4 linked regions of the Schizosaccharomyces pombe genome follow. The protein of the gene in region 1 interacts with the protein of each later gene in a biochemical or structural test. Each region holds a gene or a part of one and is shown on either strand. Other genes may lie near its edges. The genes, in order: sid2, spa2, klp2 and pos1.

Region 1 (6,127 bases):
GTCGGTTGATGAAAAGTGACTTTTTGAAGGGAGGTGTCCAGAGTTTTCATAAACTGGTCCCAAATGACGATGAGCAGGTTCTGCATCTGACGAAGCATTAGAAACTGTATTTGTGATGGAGTCACTTTCTGCTCCATCTTCTTCCTCCAAAGTTTCTATTCGAGAGTTACTCTTAAGCTGATTGTCTTCAAGTACAGTATCGTCATCCTTGTAATAGTTATCTAAGAAGTCATCAAACCCACCGTATGGTATGTAACTCATACGACGCTGTACACGACTTATAGAATTAACACGTGGAGGTGCCATATATTTTCTATGAGGATCCGGTTGTCCAATCTCATCCTTTCCATCATCTAAATTGGTCATTGGCGTTGGTCGCGGAATAGAAACCAAAAAATCTTCTTTCTGCTCATGATTTATTTGTATTGGGGCATCTTGCCGATCCAACTTTAAACTAGGTGAAGGCAAAATAGGAGAAGCCTGTCTCAAATTAGTGTTCAGCTTTAACCCACGGTTAACTACACGTTTGCTTGTAGGAGCAGGTGCAGCTGGAATTTTATACTGTGGCTGTGGCTCCGGCTTGACCGGTATGGTTGCACGCGGCAATTTGTCTTTGAAGGTATCTTCACTAACAACAGGCCGGGATATTTTTTTCTTGGAGAATTTCAATGCTGAAGGTGGAGTACCCATTGTAGCGCTCATTATACTAGCCCTGTTCGCGTCAATCCTTGAAGACAGGTCCAAAACATTCGTATACACTGGTTCATGGCTCAATGTCGGATATCTCGATGTAGGACGAAATTGAAGAGTAGGGGAGGATGAAGAAGCTGTGTTACCGCTTTTTAAAAAAGCTGGGGTACCCTCTGTTCTTTTTCCATTATTCGTTGCGAATACCAACTTTTCCTTCTCATACTTCCTCCGAGAGCTATGTGAATCTTTCATTAACAGATTAATTTACGAGTGAAATAAAGAGCAAAAGGTAGACGCTTTAGGAGGAAAGCAGTAAGAAACGAGGATAATGAGGTATCGCAGTTTGATGAATGTTACAGCTCTTCTGCTGTTGCCAACAAAACGAATATCTTACAGCTCACTAAACAACAAATAATACACGAAAACAAAAATTTTCCAAAATAGTAAAAATGGTTCAAGATATTAAATTGCAGATAGTGTCTATTTCCCTATCAAGTAAATGATTTACATAATTTATCTGGTAATTGCAAGTTCTTCTATATAAATGGCGAAAGCTGAATATTGACGAATAAAATAGTGGAAGATAAATAAAAATATAATATAATATAATGAAAAAGGATACTTCCAAATAAACATCATAAAATTAAAGTGATAACTTTCGCAAATTGTAATGTAAATGCCGTTCGAAAGTGAAATGCAATAGTAAAAGACAGTACTGTAAATGTCAAAACATCAAAAGCGAAGCTCAGTATCTTCGAAAATAGTTAATAACAGTAGATGTCTTATAAAAATACCATGAACAAGGGTCATTAAATTTCCCTTTGATTATAATAGAGTCCCGAAAGAAGGAGCAGAGAGGGGACTAGATAATGCGCTACTAGAGCTAGTAGGATGACTATTTTTTTGATGCCTAAAAGTGAAGCCGATAAAAGCATTGCGTTTAGGCTTATTAAATGTGTTAACCATATTAGCAATTGCAGCTTGTTTCTCATGAACTTCCTTATATTTAGACATATCATTTTCATTAGTGAAATCATCAAAATATCCTGCGTCAATCTCAGAATTAAGGTCGGGTACAAACGGAGGACGATATGCTGTACGAACATTTTTCCAATCAATCTTTGAGAAGTAAGGATGTTGCATGACTTGCTTAAGAGAACAAAAGCGATCCTTGGGATCAGTAATGCAGTGACATACAAAATCCCATGCATCATCTCTCCAGTTGAATTCCAAATCGCGGGGATCATCATAGTGAGGGCGTTGAAAACACTTGCGCCAATTCTTCAAGTTAGACCAGGTTTCATTAACATTGGAGCCAGAAAATGGAGGAAAACCAGAAAGACATTCATACATGATGCAGCCAAGAGACCAATAGTCTACAGAGTGGTTGTAGTTTTCACCTCGTAAAACCTCTGGGGCCATATAATCAGGAGAGCCAACTACTGAATGAGCGTATACAGGATCCTGAGATAAAAGAGTTCGAAACACTTGTCGCCTTTCCCTCATGCTCCTTTCGGGAACAACGACATTGTTGACTTCTTGAAGACGAATCTTCATACTTTCAATCTTCTTTTTGCTGATTATTCCAGAACTTAAACCAAAGTCCGTCAATTTAATATGGCCGCTAGCTCCAACCAAAAAGTTTTCTGGCTTAAGGTCACGATGGATGTAACCAAGTTGATGCAAAGCATCAATAGCTAGGAACATTTCTGTAGCATAAAACTTGGCATGATGATCCCTTAAAACACCACTGTTGCTAAGCAAAGTACGGAAATCACCACCAGGAACAAATTCCATAGCGAGATAAATGTTTGAAGTATCCTGAAAAGCATAAAGTAGACGAACTAACCATTCCGAGTTGGCTGTCGTAAGGATATCACGCTCAGTAAGAACATGCCTGATCTCATCCATTTTATGCAAAACCGATTTATTCATGATTTTCAAAGCAACAATCTCTTTGGTGTCACGCTTCCTAGCCAACCAAACAGAGCCATATCCACCTTGTCCGACTTGAGTGATGGTCTGGAAATCTCCGTGACTAATGCGTGTCCTCCTTTTCCTTAGATATACTCGTTCACGTCCATTGTATCGCTTCACTAGCTCGTCTCTTCGTGAATCAGGCTCTTTAAGCAACTGCTCTTCAAAAAGACGGGCTCTTTGCTTGCGGGTATAAAGATAATGAAGCTGCTCAAAGTAATGGTCTAAAAAGAACATTTGACAAATGGTTGCCATTCTCTTTACCTTAGGTTGGACCACTTTCTCCATTTCTTCAACTGACAAGTTCATAGATCCATTTTCCCATCTTGGTGAACCCGTTGAACTTCTATCTGACCAATGATTATTATCCTTGTAGCTCAACTCGCCAGATCTATCAAGACCACGCGGAATAGGGCTTGCAATCGGTAACTTACTAATGTGTTTTGAATGCATATGATTGTCAGGATAATTTTCCTTCGAAGATGCCACTGGGGAAAGCTTCATACTATTAAATTGATCCTCCAAATTCCTTTCTTTATCATTATTCGACAAGTTGCCGGGTTCAAAAAGACCATGTCGCTTCATATATGCATCAAATTTCTTATCTGCTTCAGAACTTAGCTGAAGTCCTAAATCACCTTCAACTGGTGACATATCATTAACACGATTCATTATTAGTTTTCTTTAAATATGTATCGTAAACATCCAACGTTTTGGTCCCCAAAAAATGCAAAACTCCTGTCAATAATAACCTTACGTGTTTTGTTTACGGCAGAGTACATTTCCATCGGAGTTAGGTATCAGCCATTTACCCTTAGCAACCAAAGTTTGATTACAGCAGTCGCTGGAAATTTCAAAACTTAAAAAACCAACCACCAAATTTACTACTTAGAACAAGATTGTTAAAAAGTCTGTTTTTATTATTTATCATACAAATGTAAACTAGATATAGTAAATTTATCTCGTTATTTTTAAAATGTACTGTGAATGCAAAATACATTTTAAATTTGATGCAATCTTTTGATTTCAGAAGAAAAATGTAAACGTTCATGTATTTTATTTAGTATGCAGAGATGTTTCTATAACATCATAATCATTATTCGATAATTCATCATTCTTTAGTATGAAAAGTTATGTTCTTAAGCATAGCGTAGAAATAGAATGGGTACACAGATTATCTTGATTAGATAATTCAGCTTATTAACTTGCCATTTTTTAAGGCCGTAACGGCTGTTCAGAAGAAGAAATGGAACCACGATGAGGCATGTATTCGCCTCTGTTAAGTATTTCATCAGAGAACACAGGAGAGCCCTCCAAGAAACTTGGAGTATATGACGGGGTAAAGCTTCTTGGCATACTTGATGTGAGTGTAAGCGAATTTGTGTCCAAACGTAAAGGTTCTTTCTTGGGTGTCGCCAAACTTGACGAAGATGCGTTGAAAGGGACCTGTAAAGTAGAAGATGCCCAATCTGGAGATTGTTCGGCATTCTCAATCTCCTCTTCTTCATCCAATTCATGAAGGCGTTTAGTGCGGTAACTTTCGCGAATGATATCCACATCATATGGCCAAAATAACTTTTGCGTTGTCATAAACAAAAACTTCGGGAAAAGACAACTTACAATCGTTCCACATAAAACAGCCCAAAAATTTGGAGTTCTGAATATACGCGAAGCAGATTTATAAAATTCATATGTATAAAGGCTTTGAGAGTAGACGCCAGTCCAAAACCAAAATGTCAAACAACTGAGCGCCCATAAACCAATTGAAAACACATCCCAATTTGATTGATTCAGAATAACATACGTGTCGACAACCATAATAGTTGGCGCAGCAACGTAAACACCTAAATCTTGTACAGCCATAGTATCACGACCATTCTGAGCAGCTGTGGTCACATTGTTAATCACAAGAAAAGAGAAAAAGAAACAGATTACAGACTGATAAAACCCATCAAGCATATATCCAATAAAGATTTTCCTGGCTGAATTTAATTGCAAAATACCACGCTTGTAAAGCTGAGGGATCCGAAGCGACAAATCAGCATTAACATCTTGATCATAGACACCCATGACAATGACAGGTAACGATGAAAAAATCAAGTTAAACAGCATAACATAAGTATAATCGAAAAGGTAATTTGCGTCGAAATTGTTGTAAATCTGATACCAGAATAAAGTAAATGTCCATACAACACTCTTGTAGAAAAAGTTGTTTACCATTTCAGCAACACGATTATAATCCCAACGGCCATGAACAAGAACCAGCTTGCTCAAAAATCGGAATTGACCGATTGCATAATCCGCAGACATAGCTGCAGCACGGCCTTCTTCACCAACAATACCAACACCAATATCAGCTTTTTGAATCATTGCAACATCATTCGCACCATCTCCAATGGCTAACGTCATTACTTCAAGGCTTTCGCGTACCAATTGAACAACATCTGCTTTTTGAGCCGGACTAACACGGCAACACAAGACAGCCTTGCATCTTTTACAAAGTAGCAGAAACTTGGTTCTCATTGGACCATCTAAAACTCGTTTAAGTACTGATCCATCAATAACTAACGCATGAGAGCCAGAGGGAGTGTCATGATCCTTCTTAGCAGCTTCAAGTTCTTCAACTGATCCAGACAAACCAAAATAACGATATAAGTAGTCAGCTAAAATAACTTCCAACTCTGGTGTTGACACTTCTTGGTCCACATCAAACTTAATCATGTCCATGCCAGCGTCCAATAAATTGCAAGAAAAACCAATATTAATAGCAGTCTCCATTTTGTCTCCGGTCAGAACCCACAATTTGATACCGGCTTGAGCCAATAATGCAATTGAATCAGGTACTCCTTCTTGTAATCGATCCTCAATAGCTGTTCCACCGAGCAAAGTAAGATGAGATTCAATCAAATCGGCAACTTCCTCTATTTGCTCCTCACGGTTTTCAATTGCAGATGCGGCGATGTCATACTTTTCTTTCCATTCGTAATATTCCTCTTCAGTAAGCTCTCTTTTTGCGATACAAAGTGTTCGTAAACCTTCCAATGCAAAAATTCTGAGATGCTCAGAAGTGGTTTTACGTAATTCAACTTGTTCATTTGGTTCCAAACGTTCGAAAATAATGCTATCAGCACCTTTGCAAATAAGCACATAACGGTTATCGGGTCCTTTAACGATCACACTCATTCTCTTCCTCGCTGAGCTGAATTCAATAGTATCCATCAATTTGAATCTTTGGGTTTCTCCAAGAGCACGAGTAACCATAATGTCTCTCCGCTGGTCCAAAAAAACAAAGCCAACGTCGCGGGCGGTACCCACGAGTGCAGCTTCATCTGGCGATTGTGCTTTATAGACAATCCGGTCACCAACTCTGTCTGCAACTACGCTATGACAAAGGGCCAATGCCAAGAAAAACTCATAGCATGCAAGTGACTGTTCTTCACCAGCTTTGCCAGCAAGGTCA
Region 2 (6,402 bases), 3.0 Mb from region 1:
AAATAAAGCATCAAAGTTCCAAAATCCACTTTCAACAAAATTGTTGGTTGGCATTTCTTCAAAACCCAATTCGAAGAAAAATTTACGGAATTCTTCACGTACTTTCATCAAAGGATGAAGACATCCACCAGCTGGAGGTATACCTTCAGCTGCAAAGTTGTAAGATTTAAACTTGGCACTTTCCCATGATCGAGAGGTGATCATCTCAGCAGTTAAATCGGTGTTCAGTTTTTCAATTTGAAGCGAGAAATTTGGACCTTTCCTCAAAGAGAAGTACATAATTTTGTTACGTTCAACAAGCTTTCTCTTCTTCAAATCAGTTAACGTCTTACTGTCAGAGATAGTTCCATGTTCCTTAATTTCACTAAGGACCTTAGGGGTCTCATCTGTAATGGAATCAGTCTGGTCAGTTAGTAAATAAAATATTGCATAACGTTAAATCAATTTGCACTACTATAACTTTGCCTTACATTTTTAACAAGCTTGTCTCCATCTTTCTTAATCCAACCGAGTTTAAAGGCTCTTCCTTGACCAATACCAGCCGAATTCCCCAATTTTTTCTAAATCAGTTAGAAAAAGTACAAAAAAACTAAAAGGCAGACGTAGCGATATGAAAAGGTGTTGCATCAAAACGCGAAAAATCGAAAATGCAACATAATGCTAGAAAAAAAAAACTAACAATATTTACCGGGCGTTTAGACTTAATTATATTTAAATGCTTCGTCGTTCACAACTACGATTCCAATGACTTTACCTTGAGTTCCCCAATATTTAAACCGCTCATAGAAGCGCAAATTTCATTATAAACTTTGGCTTCATGAGAACCATTTGCGCAAATGTTTTCACCCTCTGCAGTCAAATTGTAAATTTCAATTTCATGTCTTGAAAATTCAATCATGTTTTTAGCAGCTAATGACAAAATCGCCGATTGAGCTTCTTGAGGACCTAACTTCTTCCCATCGAATTCCAAATGACTGGTGTTTGGAATTTCATTTTTTTCGTTTAGCTTTTCAAGCAGGAAAACTTGAAGGGCTTCAAGCTTTGACATCTTACAGCTTTGTTGGTGTGTTGGCAGTAGGTAAAGTAACTGGCGATACGCGAGTGCTACGGTGAAACGGTGAGCATCGGATTCAAAGCACTACACATTAAGCCGTCGTTGACAAGTTTATGTTTTATGTACTACTAAAATTTATATATGGTAAGAGCATACAAATTATGTCAGATAGAAAATGTTCGGGACATCCTAATTCAGATTATCCATCTCTGTTTGAAATCGCTGATATAGCTACGATACTCTAACAACATCACGAAAACAGTAAAAAACGTACTTATGAGAATTCTTTTAATGTCAATTAAAAAAATTGATCGATTTAGTATAATTAAACTTGGTAAAGAATAGAAAATTAACAAAAATGAATAACAAAGAGTGATTATAGGCATGTATAGCCAGTTAGTGGTAAACATTGATTTACCCGACAAAGTTCATCATTTGAAGCCAAAATAAAATTGAGGGATTAGCTTATACAGCTGAAAAAGAGGTTTGGTGGGAGCAACCATTGATATCGGAATTCAACAATATTATAGAATATAAACAAGGTGGAGAAAACCAATGTAGCTTCGCAAATTAGTTATATCAACATTTGTTGCTTTAACGGGTGGAGAATTGTGTCCGCTGGACGCTAAATTCCGCATCTTCGATAGCCCGTAAAATATCTTTAAAGCATTTGGCCGCAGAAAAGGCGAGATCAGTCAGAGGGGGTACGGAGTTGTTGTCTGTAAATCCAAAGTTTTCACCATGTCCTTCTTGCTCAATTAACTGCATGCAATATCTTCGCATTTCCTGAAGAGCGTTATGAATTACCGCGTACGCGGCACGATCCCGCATAAGTTCTAACGGTGAAGATACATCAAAAAGTGTGTCACGTATAACGTTGATGTCTTCATGAACTCTTTGCTGGATGGTAGACGAAGAACTATCACTGCTAATAGCATCCAAAAGCTTTTGATTGGTCTCACTAAATTGTTTAGATTTTTCGGAAAGCAAGGTTTTTGCAACAGATAATGCCTTCAAATCGTCAACCGGATGAAGTGAATTTCTTCCGACCGAAAGAGAAGATTTTCCCGTGTTGGTAAGTCCATAGGTTTTTGCAATGTCCATAAGACTGATACTTATAGAGCAAGCAGAAGCATCGACGTGATAAATGGGAAGTAAGGCACCATTTATTACAGCGAGTCTTACTTGCTCCATTAAACTATTTGTGAACGAACATAAATCATCAACCTTTTTTCCTAAATCGGGAAGCTCTTCTAAAAGCGACTTCTCCCGCAAACTGGAAACAATGGCTTCCAAAGTCAAAGCAATATCCTTAGCAGTAGACATCCACTGAGAAGGGCTATCCCTTCTTAAAGATGCCACAAAGACATTCATTTCAACGAAATAACGAATATAAAGCTGTTCATCTAAAAATCCATTGGGTGAAATCAGTTCCCGAATAGACTTCATTGGAACAGTAGTCATGGTAAACAATCTTATATCTTCGTCAATTTTTGCGGACTTCGCGTTGATAGCAACCTTTTTCCAGCGTTCCGTTTCGGCCTTCAAGGAGTCAATACAGCTTTCCAATTCGACAATGTGCTGGGTTTTTGAAGATTCGGCAACAATCAATTCTTGCATTAGCTTTAGGTTTTTTTCCAACTCAGGATTAAAACTAAGCGTTGGGTTGTTTTCGAGCTCTTTTATTCGATTTTCAGCATCGTTTAGCTTTTTTATTGAAATTTCAGCCTCATGGGATGCCTCATGAAGCTTTTCCTCCAATTGAAAGATTTCATTCTTATGTTTCGTAGCATCAGAAATGCTTTTGGCTTTTAAAGCCTCCATTTCAGATTTTGAGCTGTCAAGCAAAGAGTTCGATTTTGCCAAACTACTTTCCAACATCTCAATTCTACTCAAGTAATTTGACGAAGAATCAATTCCCGTCTGAGCACCCTGGCTCAATGACGAGGTAGAGGAATTATTTGCTTGAACAGTATTTAAAGCATTGGTATCTGGAACATTCGGTAGACGATGAGACAAGGAAGTAGGAGAATCAGTATGCGTTCTATTAGCATAACTTGGTATAGTGGGAGAGCTTGTGGTTCTTTGTTCAGTTGGATGAAGGGAAGCGGAAGAGGCGTTGGCACTGCTATACAGATCGTGCTTGGGAGCGGAAGCAGGTAAACGTTGCACCTGAGGAGGAGGCTGAGAAGCAGCTCTAGTCATGTTTGGTGGTGTATTTGAAGAAACTTCTTTTAAAGCACCACTATATCTTGATTGAACTTCAAAAAACACATCCATACAAAGATCCCGAAGCCTTGTAGGAGCAAGACTAGAAAGTTTTTGTCGAGCATGATTCCGCTTGGGATGATAAGAATCAACAGGAGGTAAGAATCTGACTATAAGGGGTTAGAATTGTAGACTCATAAGAGTGTAAATCAAAATACCTTTGGGATCATTGTTGATCCTACGCTGTAGTTCATCAGCAACGTCTGTTAAAAGTTCACTGAACTGAATATGAGACAAACGCTGAAGCTTTTCACGTGGCCTCGCATTGGCGTTCCTTAGGGCTGGGTCTATAAAATAGCGTTAGAGGTGATTACATTGTTTCCGTGGGTCAAAGCAATTGTACAGCTTAATTTTAAACCAATTTTTAACATACCTTTAACAAATTCAGGCTCTAAGTAACGAGCTAAAAACCGATATTGACGAATAATAATACTTTGCATAGTTTGAAAGCAAATTTAAGACTAGGGATTTGAGGAAAGAAGTTGGAAAAAATGAGCTTTCTATCTTTTTCAGGGAATTAAATGATATGTCCTTTCTTTTACGCTGACTTGAAAAAGATAGACTGTGTAAATTAACTTAAGGCAGTTGTACTAATACAATGGGCAAGGACGTGCTGGACCCTAAATTAATTTGATATAATTTTTCTGTGAATTAAATTTTTAAAGAAAAAGTCTTTAAAATGCCTAATGTACTGCCAAACACATTAACAGGCAAACGAGTGCGAAGAGAAATCTTCTATCTAAAAATATTACTGACAGCTTTGCGTCCTTGCCAATTTACTGTGTTTATTACTTAGAACGTTGTAGATATACTAGGAGAAAGGACATGCTTTATTAAATTCGATAACGACGTGTAACGATAAATGATATTAAAAAAAATGAATAGTATACAATACAGGAAGTTTAGGATGGTTAGATTGAAAGTCGGCCATTATAGAAGGGAACAGCTCTTCCAATTTATCCTGTGCCTCGGTTAATTTGTTGACTAAATCGAGAATGGCCTTTCCACCTACGCTGGCCTCCTCATGGTTATCTTTAATGTCAACGTTTATTAAGTACACAGGTCGATTCAATGTTTCACCTCGACGATACAGATCCTCACAAATGGCATCATAACATCTTTCTTCGCAGGTTATTACAATGTTGTATATGGAATCTTGGTCCTGCCACCGACAAGGAGCGCGCTTTATACGGCGATTTCGGTCAAGCATTTTAAGCAATCCATTGGCCGTGTATAGCCGGGAATCCTGGGCCTCGAGCTCTTTATAAATTTCATCATATGGATACCCAAATTGATAAATGTTAGGTTTGTCAATACTGGGACCCGGCAACCGTACAGCTGAACCTGTTCCGAACGAATCAACTTGGTATCCAGCATTCCTTCAATGGAGATTAGCAAACTACCTCATAAAATTCAAAAATGACATACTTTAAGACGTTGTGAGCTTCCATACTTCGATTTTGGTTCGAAGCACAAATTACACTGATCTGGAGGTTGGTTTTGGGAGCCATTATTTGGTATTATTGTTTACTGACTAACGTTGGTAAGGCTTTAAAAGGTTTTACTTTCCTTTCTTTATTATTGCAAGATTTTTATCTTACTAAATTAGACATACAGCCAAAGGTCCAAACTCGTTCTTTGCAGTGTATACAATATGACACGCTGTAAGCAACAGCCTTTCAAAATTACCACGCTGCTTTACGATGCGATATATCGATATGTTGCATCACAAAAGCAGAGGCTCTTGAAATGAATCTCATCTTTGCAGAGTATAATTTCTACTTTAATTAATTATCTTAAATGTTTTATAAAAATAAAAATTCTCCACGTTGTATTCGTCTGATAGCAATTTTTCAAAGATAGGGTTTGAATAAATACGTCTATACTCCACTACCCATACTACATTAATGATTGTTAACTTTACAAAATTATGCCTAATTCAAAAACTCCTTATTATAATATTAATAATAAAACTACTCATCGCCAGCACTTTAAAAAGCCGTATAAAATTAGTGAGAAATCATTGTATTGTCAAACAAAATTTGCGGTTGGATCAATCAACAATTCTTGGCTGTTAATCTCAAAATGAATAAAGTTCAAACATACAAACTGGCGTATGAAGCATTAAGTTTTGAGCTGATCTACTTAGAGTAGTTTCGTACATACCATACTCTTTCATTTCATTTATCGCTTAAGATTTCCAAGTTTTGAGTATTATATAGGGTAGGTCTTCAATCTTTGTGACTGTTTCAATAAATTCGATTTAGTATATATTTTGCATAACTTAACCAATTTTAATTCAACGCGAAATGATGACTTTAGGCATTTGTCCAAAGGATACAACTTCAGTTATTGAATTAGTACCACTGTAGACAAAACCCTAGCTACCTTTTAATTTTGTCTGATCGTGTGTAAAACGTTTACGACAATAATGATTAGCTTAGTTGAAGATATCGCGGATACTGAAAAATATATGACCAGCCTAAATAAAATCGGTGTATGTAATTTTGTCTTGAAAAGCTATAAAGTTACTGTGTGGTTAATGCAGTTTTTCGTTAGTAGAAAATACAAAAATCAGGTTCACTCAGTAAGCTTCTTAAAGTGAAATATGACATTCAACAGTACTCATTAATTTTGCGAATCGAAACAGTTAGTGACTTGCCTTAAATATAGTCAGTAAATAAGAAAAAAAAAAGAAAATGTAAAGGCACATCATATTATGCAAAGAAGGACTACGTTGCTATAATGCATGCAAACCATATCCAATAAGTAAAAGACGTAGATGCTATTTCTATATCAAAAGAAACATATTCACATGTTTTATATACAAAGAATCCGTCAGAAAAACCATACGTGCTAACTGGCAAATCGGCTCTTCCCATAAGTAGACGATGATCTTGCAGCGTCACGGTATAATCCTAATCTAGTGATTTCGTTCCCCTTTTCTAAAGCTTTTCTCGTTCGCTGGACTTTACGCCAAACAGACTTCTCCTTTTTAATATACCATATGTTTCAGTTAACTGATCGCGCAATTCAGGCTTAATAAACGGTAAGCAGTCTATATTTCTTTTTCTCTTTCG
Region 3 (6,485 bases), 1.5 Mb from region 1:
CTAAAAGCTTTAATAAAAGAGTTGCGAAGAAAATATATGTTTTCCAGAAAAGCACAATAGAAACCAGAAAAACTTTGCTTTTCTCTAACTATTGGGATATATTAATGTGCGCTTTTCCACAAAAACGACGCGTATTCCTCTTTTAAATTCCCAAGGGAGGTAGTGGTTCTGGTTACAAAAAAACAAGTACCTTAACAACGAGAACCTTCTTCGTGGCAATCGCTACCTCATCAAAAAAATTAAGTGGACTAACTAGTGCCCTCCCCTTACTGTTCGGTTAACATCGAATGCCAGAGAAAAATGGACAAGCGGGATGGTGCGATGGTGAAGGAAAAGGAAGCTCGAAGAAGGTTTGCAGTAATACGGTACTAAACCGTTTTAAGAAGCCTGTGGTTACATGATAAAAATGCTTAATGTTGCTCTCGTTATAATTCAGTATTTGATAAACAAATGGAAAAGAATTGGACTATTGGCAAGATATAGAAAAATGCCACCTCAGTATTTACTGAAAAGGGATAGAAGCATTCAAATGAAAGAGAAAAAAAGGAAATGTATTCAAGATTGGCAGTGGAAAATTTATGGAAATTCCTATAATCCCACTAAGTGGATTAAGTAGCAATTAAGAAACCGAAATTAGTACAATTATTAAAGAAAATAAAGTATAATCTGTTAATTTTAGCTTATTCTATATTTCTTGGGTCAATCTGAAGAACATTCCGAAAGGAATAAAATATACAGTGGGTAGTAGAATTTCTAATATTTTTATTATCAAGAGAGAATTAAAGGAACTGCCAAGTTTGAGAAAAAAAAAATAGCTAGTAATATTATATTTTTGGATACTTGATCTTTTCTCCTAAATGTAATTCATCTGTGAAATTTAATTGCTCACCTTTGCTTCATCCAAAAGTCACTTGGAACAATTTTTGTAGTCAGTTACTTTCTAAGATTAACTATACTTTTGAACATACTTTATGAGATATGACTTCATTTTGAGCGAATTATAAACCACCGTACTAAGTAAGTTGGAATGTCATTAGGGTCTAGTCATAAAAGAAAATATTTGCTCAATACTATTATAGAAAACATAAAATATAATGGTAAAATTTGAAAACATTCAAAGGAAAGAACACATATAACCTAAAGAGCGTATTCGAATATATAAAAAAAAAGAGTGAGTTGGAAATGAACGCTTACTTGTATGTATACGTCCATTAAAACGATAATAGTTCTGACTTGTGGTTCTTTATAGGCCCATAAAAATTATTTTCAAAGTATACAAAAGAGAGCAAACAGATCTGTATATTTTACAAAAACGGAAAAGACAGCTCTCCTTATAAACAACAATCCTCAAGCCATCCTGTTGGTGCTTTCCGTTCATTTTGTGACTTTGCGTGCTGTGCCAATTTGAGTATTATTTACCTTTGTTGCAAATCTCAAACTGCATAATGTTTCGGGAACATGCTGTTTTAGTGGGGAAATATTGACAAACATGAGAGTTTTACTATTTCCTCCCAACGAATATTGTAACAAATTAGTCAGCTTGGAATTTCGATACGGAATGTACGTTCCTTCCTTTCCACTTCCCAAAGCATGTATTACATCTCCTAAACAACTTAAACTTTTGTTGATTGCCTGCGTTTCCTTCAAACGTTCACCCACACTTTGGCTACTCGAAAGTCTTTCGGATCCAGCCAGATCAATCAAATTAAGCGTACTTCTGCATGTTTCACCTGTCGTAGAATTGCTTCCATTCAAGTGTAGCATAAAAACTGAATGCGATCTTGAGGAATGTTCATTAGCATTGGTAGCCGCAACAGAACGGTTCTTCGAAGCTTGATCTAACAACCAGGTTACCTGCTCAGGTGTGTCTAACGGTTCGCTGGTTATATTGGTAATAGTCGTCCTTCCGGCCTTCGTGTCATGATATATCTCCAGTTTTTTCTTTCCCTTCTCTTCTTCATTTCCGGAGGCTAAAAGGTCAATAATGGTTTCATTGTATATTTCTAGAAATTGTCCTTCCATCCGATATTCCCAACCTCGTTCTTTCAAAGAAGTAGAGCGATTGTATATCATTCTTACAGATGAAGGGATCATTCCTGTATTTGAAGACATCGTATGCGTCTTGCCTGAACCTGTTTGACCGTAAGCGAATATACAAACATTATATCCGTCCATAGCACTTTGAATTAACTGTGACAGTTCATTAAATACATCCTCATTAGTCGTTTCAGGGGAAAATACACGATCGAAATTAAAGGCATACTGTTTTATCCCGTTCCCTGTTAACGAAGACCCTGGGGCTTGAGCAACAATCTCTATAGTACTAGCTTCGGAATTTTGATCAGGAAAAGCTATTTGTGCTGATTCTCCATCGCCAAGGGGAGGTCGCACTCGACAAAAAACGCGTATGTTACCTTTAAGTTCTTGAATGGTATTATGGAGTTTTCTTCTCAGAGTTTCCTCAGCTATGAGTTTCTCAACTAAACCGTCTCTCTCAACATTGGCAGATTTTAAAATGCCTTCTAGTTCTATAATCTTATTTTTCATAGTATAAACATCTTCTTCAAGTGTTTTGATAGTGCTTTCTAAAGCCCGATTTGTAGATTCAAGCTTCTGAACGTTGGCACTTTGTTGGTCCAACGAAGATTTCAGATTTTCCTTAACAACTGTTTCAGAAGCAAGTTCTCTTTGTAATTGTTCAATCTGCTGTTTCAAAGAATTATTTTCTTCCTGAAGCGGTTGAATTGCAGATTGCAGTCTTTTTTTTTCTAGATCATGCTTATTTTGGACACGTTGCATAGCCAGCGAAGCGCCCTCCTGAACTTTCTTTAATAAAGAATCCTTTTCCTCTTGTAGTCTGGAAATTTTGAGTTCATTTTCTGAAGTAAGCTCTTTAATCTTGTGTGAAAAGTGTTCTTCGGCAGACTGCAATTCATTTTTGTACTCCATGATTAAACTATTTGCTTTTTGTTCAATATTGGAAGCAAAATCCTGTAATTCTGCTTGATGCTGAAGCTCAGCTGTCTCCATCACCCGAGCATGGTTCTCTTCCAACATGGCCATGCGCTGATGATTTTCACTTTTCATTGAGTTTAACATTATCTCCAAACTCTCCATACCCTTTTGAGAAACGATTTTATTAGCCTCCGCCTCAGCTTTTTCTCTCAGAGCCACTGAAAATTGTTCTTGTAACTCCGATGTACGACTCCTCTCGACTTCTAATGATTCTTCAAGCATAGCAATTCTCTGTTCGTAAAATTTGTAATTAGCTGGTCTTTTTGAGGGTGAAGGAATAACTTTAGCCGATAATTGAGCATAAGCCATTTCCATACTCCTCAACCGGTCTTCTGTAGTCCTTAAGGCGCTGGCATTAACAGACTTTTCATCATTATAAGATTCCATACTTTCATCTGACATACTTCTCACATCATCGCTACTATTTAAACTGGATGAAACAGCACTGGCAGGTCTACCAAAATGAGAAGAAGCAGACACTGACCGACTTGAAATGGGATGTGCAGACTTGGGCATCCTGGGATTAGAGGACGCGGTAAAAGGCCTGGCTTTTTTTGCAAGACTAGAAGATTTAACCGAGGCTAAGCTTCCTGGTGGTAACATCTTACTGGGAAATTTAGCAGGTTTCAGTTGGTTAACTTCATTTTGCAATGATAACCGAGGTTTCAGAATATTTGATGAAGATGAATTAGTTTTAATAGTCGGAGGAGGTATATTAGACGTAAATTCTTTAGCAATTTCTCGACTTTGCGACAAAGAACTCGAGGACTGAGGTAGATGCGACTATAAGGAAAAAAATTAATAAATTACACTTAAATTTGTTCTTACAGTTAAACTTTTATGTCCTTCTTCTTCCATACTTTCTCCTTTTCCCCAAAAACATGTGGGTATTGTAAGGTGTTAGAGAAGTTGAGTTTCATAAGCTTAAATCAAAAGTTCACTATTCAACAATTTGTATGGTGGTATTCCATGGACCACGAAGGTCAAAAGCAAATATCCGATATTATGTGAATCTTTAATTCAATTTAATGATTTAGTATTAATTAACACAGTAAAGTATTTTTAATTAGTAAAGGAATATTTGCCATTCGTACATCGAAAGAAATATTTTACTGTTTTACGTTTAAAGTATGAAGATATATTATGTTACGGTTAGAATAAATTCGAAAGTTAAATGTAATTGTTCTTCGTTTTGCTAAAACTTTCTAAATCTAGGAAAGAATGTAATCTATCTAACTAACGAAGGTCCAATCATCACCATCATGTGCACAAATATGTAGACAGTGATCATTCATACGTTTTATGCTTTATAATATTTTTCTCTCATCCCAGCCACAAGCTAAAGATCAGTAAAAAGCACATAAAGATTGAGAATAAGTTAATAAACCTGATAAATTAATAACAACAAATAAAGGAAAATTTTGTGAGCGTCTAAGGAGTTTTTTTTAATAATTTAGTGAAATTTTAATAGGCAGCAGCAACAGCCTGTTTTCGGCTATCACTTAAACCGTACAATGTGCCGTTGGTGCGGAAAACAGCTTGAATTTCACTGAAAGGATATTGAACGGGGATTAAATCCACTATATGACCAAACTTTTCTAAAGCTCTAAGAACTTCAATTTCAACAGTTTCATCGATATAGACGATATTAGGCATTAGCTGATGATGAAATCTAGGACTCTCAACAGATTCTAACAATGACTTGCCCCATTTATATTTTTTAATAATTGTGTCTAACACAGCTGTCACGATTCGGCTGCCACCGCTACCACCAAGAACCATTTCAACTTCACCATTATATACCAAAATCGTAGGCACCGCGGAGCTTTGTGGTCGCTTACCAGGGGCAATAAAGTTGTATGGCGATGGACTCAAACCGAAAGCATTCACTATTCCTGGAGAAGCAAAATCGTCCATGTGATCATTCAGTATAATACCCGTTTCAGGTTCCAAAAGTTGTGAACCAAACATCAAATTGATAGAAGCTGTGAGTCCGACTGCCATATTGTCTTTGTCGATAACGGAAAGATGAGTAGTGCCGTGATCGTTAGGGAAATCGTATTCGGCCTTGTAGTGAGTAAAATCAAAAGTCCTCTCGTTAGAAATATTATTGCGAATTTCATCAGCATATTCCAAAGAAAGTAACTGTTCAACATGATCTGTATTATTGTAAAAAGTTGGGTCTGCTAATACAGTCCGTCCAGCGGACATCCATTTCATTGTTTCAATTAGATGGTGCACGCCAATATCCGTCATTTCACAACCAAGGATAGAAGTACCTTCACTTAAATCTACTTTTGAAAGAACATTTAAACCTAAAATCAAAGCCTCTCCACTACAAGGGGATCCACAAGTAATAACCTCACGATCATAGAAGTTACCATAAATAGGTTCCTCCACAACAACTGAAAAATTGGCCATATCCTCCATGGTTAGTATACCTCCTTGCTGTTGAACAAACTTTACAAGCCTTTCTGCAATTTTTCCTGTGTAAAACACTTCAGGACCAAACTTAGCTATTTCTTCGAGGGTAGACGCTAGAGCAGGCCGATAAAACTTTTCTCCAACGTGTAAAAAAACACCTTCTGGAGCAAATATTTTAGACCAATCTGGATGAGTCTTGAAATAGGAAAACTCGGGTCGTCTGATGCGAGACGCAAGTTCCTTGGGCATTGGCATTCCATCTCTCATAAGACGTATGGTTGGTTCAAACAACTTATGCCAAGGTAGAGAGCCATACATTTTCCAAGCACGCTCGTAGCCAGCAATTTCACCAGGGACGGCAACGGAAAGACCACCTACCTGTGACAGGGTAGAGTTACCATGAAACATATTTTTGCTGGCACCCGCTGGAGCAGTCTCGCGAAAGTTCAAGGAATGTGCTGTACCATTTGGATGGCGTATTAACATAAATCCACCACCGCCAATACCACTTGAAAATGAATTGACAGCTCCAATGCAAATTCCCGATGCGATAGCCGCATCCACTGCATTTCCACCGGCCTTCAAGATGCCAACACCAATTTGGGAGCATGTCTCTTCCTCCGTAGCCACAACTCCATTTTTTCCTTCAACTACTACTCTCTGCGAGCCTTTGTTTTTATATTTGAAGGAGCACCGTTGATTTGCAAAAAAAAGGTCGGGAGATAAAATTGGCCAGATGTATAAAGAAAGTATTGTGCCTGCCAAAACAAGAAATGTGACAAGAATAGAGGGACGAGAAGCCCGTTCTTCTAGAGCTGAAGTGGCTGATTTCTTATTAGATGATAAATGCCGATTTCCAGACTTCACATTTACAGAACTTCGAGCGATGGAAGCAGCCCCTGAACTCTGAGCAGAAGACGTATTGATACCCATCACAATTTAAAAAGTGCTGAAAATATCCAAAAAAAAAAAAACAAGGTATGAAATGGAATGAAATTAAATTTAAAAAAAATACCTTTACCAAGATTAAGGAATCTTGCACAAAA
Region 4 (5,163 bases), 3.3 Mb from region 1:
AAATTTTTTCAAAAAGGTAAACGTGATACTCTCTTTCTATATCGGCTTTGCATACATTAACAACATCCCAAACTAGCAGTTGTCCAAAGTATTGAAGAGAGTATCCTTTCCAATCAATCACACGTTGTTCAAGCTCAATAATGGCATTTCGGTTTTCATGAATACGACGAGTCTCATTAACTTGGTTTGCTACACGAACTACACAAGCCATTCCTTGTTTTAGTTCCTCTTCGTACTGATAACCTGAGGGAGTACCTTTTAGTAATTGATTCAAGAGAAGCGGATATTTACATATACGCTGTATAGGCTTAATCAGCAGAGCTGGTAATTCATAAGAGGGCTCAAGCAGGTTCGCAACTTTCAGTAACTGATTTTGATTATCAATGATCAGTTGTTGAGCATTCGGAAAATTTGTACAAAACACTTGGTAAACAGAAAATCCCTCTTCTAAGGCAATGAAGAGTGCGCCTAGTCGTTGTTCTTCTACAGGAAGCGAAAGATTCATCTCTAAACCAACCAAAAAACGTCTTTGAAAGTCTAAAATCTCGTTTAAATTCGTAAATATACTGAGAATAGTGTCCTGGGATAGAATTTGTTTTTGTTGAAGTATGACCATATAGTTGGACAAATATTCTAAATCTTGAATGTATTTTAATTCGGTTTCATATAATTCGGCAGTGACTCTACGGCCAGATGCAATCAAGCTGTTAAGAGTTCCTGTTGGTACATTATCATCAGTAGAAGGACTAGGAGTAGAAGATGATTTTGTGGTATTGGAAACTTCATACTTTTTCAATAAAAGTTCAATGGTTTGAAGAGCTCTAACAAGTGGAGCTGTCGAGGGTTTATAAATTTCTGATATGGAAAAAAGGGCGGCGTCTGTGAGTCCAAGTTCATTTTTACACATGAGCATGAAACGATATAAACTAGCTTTACACACGTTCGTATTTTCCAAAGAAACCGAACTATTAACTTCCAATTTTTGCTTAACTGGCAAGCAATTGAACAGGGCACACAATGGATAACCTAAACGACAAAACAGCCAAATTTCCGTAACTGGATCATCAAATTCAATGTCCTTAAATTCCAGTATTTTGAAAGAGCTATTCAAGGCTTCACGATGAATACTGTCAAAGAAAGCAGCCAACTCTGATATATCCATCAATCGCTTCCGGAGATTTAGACATCGTCTGTATAATGAAACCGTATTTTCTAAATTATAAATAACTTGTGACGGAGACTGTAAAAGCCTAAGTTTCATGTATTCTGACAGATTAGTCTCATCTTTACGAGGACCTACAAGGTTTTGGGTGCTGTGATTGATGTAAGAAGGAAGAGACCTAGAGGATGCTTTTAGAAGTTAGTTAGTTAATTGCATACACATAAATGGCGTTTTTGTGTTCTAAATTTCTTTCAATCGTTACATACTTTTGCGATCCTGAAAGTAGGCCATAACTGATAACTTCTTCTCGAGACTCCTTCCTAATGCAGTAAAATACAGAAAATAAAATTTCCTTTAACTGCTAGAAAAGTATAAGTACTCGCATGTAGTCCAATGCTTGAACAATTAATGGAAATTCAAACCAACAACCCAATTTCAAGATTTCTTAAACATAAAAAAGCCTGAAGTTTCTTTGGAATTAAATATAAAAATTAAAACTGACTCCAAAGTAAAATTGTCTAAAATAAGTTGCTGTTTTACTGCAATTGATAAAATCACAGTATGTATAGTTGACAAGGTACTAAGGTAATAGTGAGACACTTGGCGATCAGTTGAATCGAATAGCGTATCGTAAATGTATTACGGTAAATATACTTGTTTCTTCAGTTCATTTGATAGAAAATCCTACTGCTAAGTCTTTTGAAACGGAGATATTATGACGATAAAATAGCTGGCAACTGAAATTTCATTGCTAAAAAAATGAAGGGATATCTCCAACCATCCCAATATTAAAACGATTACAAAAGGCAAGCTTGCAAATTTGGTAAATAAATTAAGTAGAGCGATTGTTTTAGTAATGTAACAAGGAAAATCATGTATTGAACGGGAATTAAAAAAAAAATTAGTAAGACACAAATTTGGTAGGAAAGGTAGATGTCCAAGAAAAGAGTGAGGTCTTTAAAAAGGACGACGATGCTAAATAAACCAATTCAGCCTTTCAATTGATAAGAAGAGACAAAAAAGTTAAAAAAATTAATGTTAAGAACGTATTGAAATACAGTAGTAAAATGATAACGAATGGACCTGATGACTTAAAAGTATAAAACAGGGATAACGAGAGTAACGGCTTAATAAAAAGACTGAAAACAAAAATATTAAAGTAAAAGGAGTGAGTGCTTGACAGAAAGAACAAAGATAAGTAAGGGAAAATAGGAAAGATTTGAGGACTAGGACTCGGAGCACAAGTTTGACAACTTATCTGACAACAACTCGCTTCGGAAGAAAAATTGTCGTAGTTGAGATAATACATCTTGAGGAACAGAAGAGCTCATATTATTAGTGATATCACGTAAAAAGGTATTTTGTTCTGCACATAATCGTTGCCAATCAATAAGTAAAAAAGACAGTGTTTCTGTGTCAACGTTTCTTCCCATTGGAGAGGTCGAATGAGAAGAGGGACTTTCGGCAATTTCATGAGGAGATAATTCTTTTTTCTGTAAACTGTCGTTGGTATGTTTTAAAGAAGCCAAGATGGAATAAATAGAGGATTCAGAAGATTCGGATGGCTTTTCGATGAGACCCATCTTTTCAAGTCGTTGTTCCAATACTTGTACGCTATCATGAACTTCCTTCAGCATAAAAGAAGCTGAAGGACCAACCTTGTTAATCTCGTTTGATAAAGATAATGTACCAAAGCTCAAAGTGTTCGATAGAGACTTAAGATAACGTAACTCTGTCTCAGTGGATTGTTTCCTGATTTCTTCCAGCTCTTTCTTCGTATTCTCCATATCCTCTATAGGAGCCTTTAGTTTGGTTAATTTGTTCTCCTCTAGACTGCTTAACTTGGGTAAAGATTTGAGAAGCTTCGAGTACATCATTTGATATGCCAGTTTCTTTTCCAAATTTTCTTTTTTGGCTTTGCAAATTAATAATTTCTAAATTTTGCATGTTAACACACTGAATTAATGTTTCTATTTAAAACTTTACATACATTGTGCAATTTGCCAAACAAATTGGCTTCTAAAGGTTCCACTTCTTTGCTCTCACATATCGACTTGTTAATTAAAAAGGAATTAGCTGGAGAAAAGGCCATCGCGCTTACAGTCGAAAATATACTGCGTTTGGCACTAGCTTAAAACATGGAAGCTCCAAGTACTTACTATGAGTAGCGGAAATTGTGACTTGGCGAAACGAGTAACAAATGTTTATAACTATGTATTGTAAAAATAATATTTTATGAGTACGAAGATTAGTCTAAATGAATCGAAACTTTTTGAGGTAATTAGTAATTCGATTGTAGTTAAGGTATTTTATCTGAGAAACCGGCTTTCTAACGTTTTACAGCCACAGATCACTTAGACAACTGTTCTGATTAAAATATAACTTTTCCACGAAAGCTGATTATCACTTAGACCATAGCTAAAAAATCCTAAGGCTCTAATTGCATACTTAATAGCCAGCGTATATGTCACGAAGTATGATCTTAAATTATAAATCCAATTCAACACACTTCCGTGAAAGCCAAAGCAAGGGAGACCTGTAATCTTGTTTCTGTTTAATAAAAGAAAGCGGTAAAGAATTTTTTCTAAAAACATTAAACCAATTTCTTACAATGTTCGTTCTACAGTGTCTTCTCATTTTAATTTTGACTGAATGCTTTTTCGTCGCACTAAATAAAAGTCTACGAGATGAAATGATTGTATCAATTAAATACTTTATAGCAAACAGTAAGTCAACACTGTGAAATTCCATTCAGACTACCGCATTTCATTTTTATTTTTTCACAAACAGTTGTGGGGACAAATGGTTTTATTTTTTTAAGAAATAGAGAGTAAAATATCTTTCATCAAATTTATAGATAGAGATTCATCGTATTTGTCTCTCGAATCTAGACATTTAACGCACATTTTAGCAGAAAATTTTTATCGACTCAAAATCATTGTTCATTTCAATAACATTTCATTATTATAAAACGTAACTTAAAATAAGTTAAATTCACAATTTAGCTGTTGTTTCATAGACTAATCGCAATTGCACTGGCTGTACTGTAAATAGTTGGTGTATATACTACTGCTACCACATTCTACGTACCTACTCCCAATATGTCACCGTCTTTATTCAGTACGTAAATATTAAAGATATGTCAAATTAAGTATACTAATAAGCATTCTAGGATCTGAGGAGGTATCCCTGGTACAGTTATACCTCCCCACGGAGTCTGCTCGACCTATTATGTCGGCACTTGGGGAGTTGTCGACTATCCATTTTAAAGATGTAAGGATTTGCATTTTGAGAGAGACTTAGAAGTTTTATACTAACTCTTTAAGTTAAACCCTGATGTTGTAGCTTTTCAACGATCCTTCGTTCGTGAAATTCGACGCTTGACTGATACTGAGCGACTACTTCGCTATCTTCACTCAGAAATCGACTTGAATGGCATTCATGTCCCAGATCACAATCTTCCTCCTAGTTATGAGTCTGTTTTAGAAAGCAGCACTATCGAAGATATCATTGAAAGAATCACTAGGCTGGAGGCTCGTGTACGACAGTTGGTTGAGTCAAGCCAGTTGTTAGAGGCTCGATATCTTCAGCAGTTAGAGTTTGCCAACGTATTGACAAAAGCTGATGCATTCTTTTCGAAGAGTGGTAACACGGTTGATCCACTTCGCAACAACTACGAAACTAGCTCCATCTTTTCTGGTGAAGACGACACCACCGCCCCTTTAATTGAAAACGCCCTGGAATTGGGCACCACTGGTACTTTTGACAGTGAAGAAACTAGTCCACAAATGAACACCACTCTAGATTTCGTTTCTGGTATTATTCCTACGGTGAAGTTTCAATTTCTAGAACGTATTTTATGGAGAACTTTACGTGGTAATTTGTTTATTCATCAAGTGCGGGCTGACGACTCTTTAATTCATGGTGCGGAAAAGAACGAAGAAAAAACCATCTTTTTGGTTATCGCCCACGGTACTCAAATTCTCTTACGCATTCGCAAA

What was found.
Region 2: of the proteins of sid2 (region 1) and spa2, one has a biochemical effect on the other in vitro, tested with the Schizosaccharomyces pombe proteins (one study listed by BioGRID).
Region 3: of the proteins of sid2 (region 1) and klp2, one has a biochemical effect on the other in vitro, tested with the Schizosaccharomyces pombe proteins (one study listed by BioGRID).
Region 4: of the proteins of sid2 (region 1) and pos1, one has a biochemical effect on the other in vitro, tested with the Schizosaccharomyces pombe proteins (one study listed by BioGRID).

The regions. Positions count from the first base shown.
Region 1 is NC_003424.3:220,514-226,640, forward strand, and holds sid2 (serine/threonine protein kinase (NDR family) Sid2), read right to left. Parts: upstream 3,441-6,127; 5' UTR 3,340-3,440; coding exon 1,516-3,339; 3' UTR 1,181-1,515; downstream 1-1,180. Other genes in the region: cfh1 (chitin synthase regulatory factor-like Chr3), read right to left, coding at 1-942; dnf2 (phospholipid-transporting ATPase), read right to left, coding at 3,883-6,127. UniProt on the Schizosaccharomyces pombe protein: Part of a signaling pathway. Required for initiation of medial ring constriction and septation.
Region 2 is NC_003424.3:3,172,298-3,178,699, forward strand, and holds spa2 (GTPase-activating protein), read right to left. Parts: upstream 4,045-6,402; 5' UTR 3,763-4,044; coding exon 3,696-3,762; exon of another isoform or gene 3,610-3,695; coding exon 3,481-3,609; exon of another isoform or gene 3,433-3,480; coding exon 1,649-3,432; 3' UTR 1,326-1,648; downstream 1-1,325. Other genes in the region: phenylalanine--tRNA (Phe) ligase alpha subunit Frs2, read right to left, coding at 1-402, 471-560, 755-1,048; RNA polymerase II CTD phosphatase Ssu72, read right to left, coding at 4,191-4,701, 4,751-4,833.
Region 3 is NC_003424.3:1,719,383-1,725,867, reverse strand, and holds klp2 (kinesin-14 family minus-end directed microtubule motor Klp2), read right to left. Parts: upstream 3,915-6,485; 5' UTR 3,874-3,914; coding exon 3,844-3,873; exon of another isoform or gene 3,799-3,843; coding exon 1,375-3,798; 3' UTR 966-1,374; downstream 1-965. Other genes in the region: gamma-glutamyltranspeptidase Ggt1, read right to left, coding at 4,480-6,372. UniProt on the Schizosaccharomyces pombe protein: Minus end-directed microtubule (MT) motor that is involved in spindle microtubule shortening, kinetochore capture, and polarization of cytoplasmic microtubules. During mitosis, promotes spindle microtubule shortening by depolymerization.
Region 4 is NC_003424.3:3,512,120-3,517,282, reverse strand, and holds pos1 (protein Pos1), read right to left. Parts: upstream 3,286-5,163; 5' UTR 3,255-3,285; coding exon 3,153-3,254; intron 3,097-3,152; coding exon 2,389-3,096; 3' UTR 1,868-2,388; downstream 1-1,867. Other genes in the region: RhoGEF Scd1, read right to left, coding at 1-1,350, 1,429-1,453; vph1 (V-type ATPase V0 subunit a), read left to right, coding at 4,264-4,282, 4,335-4,435, 4,489-5,163.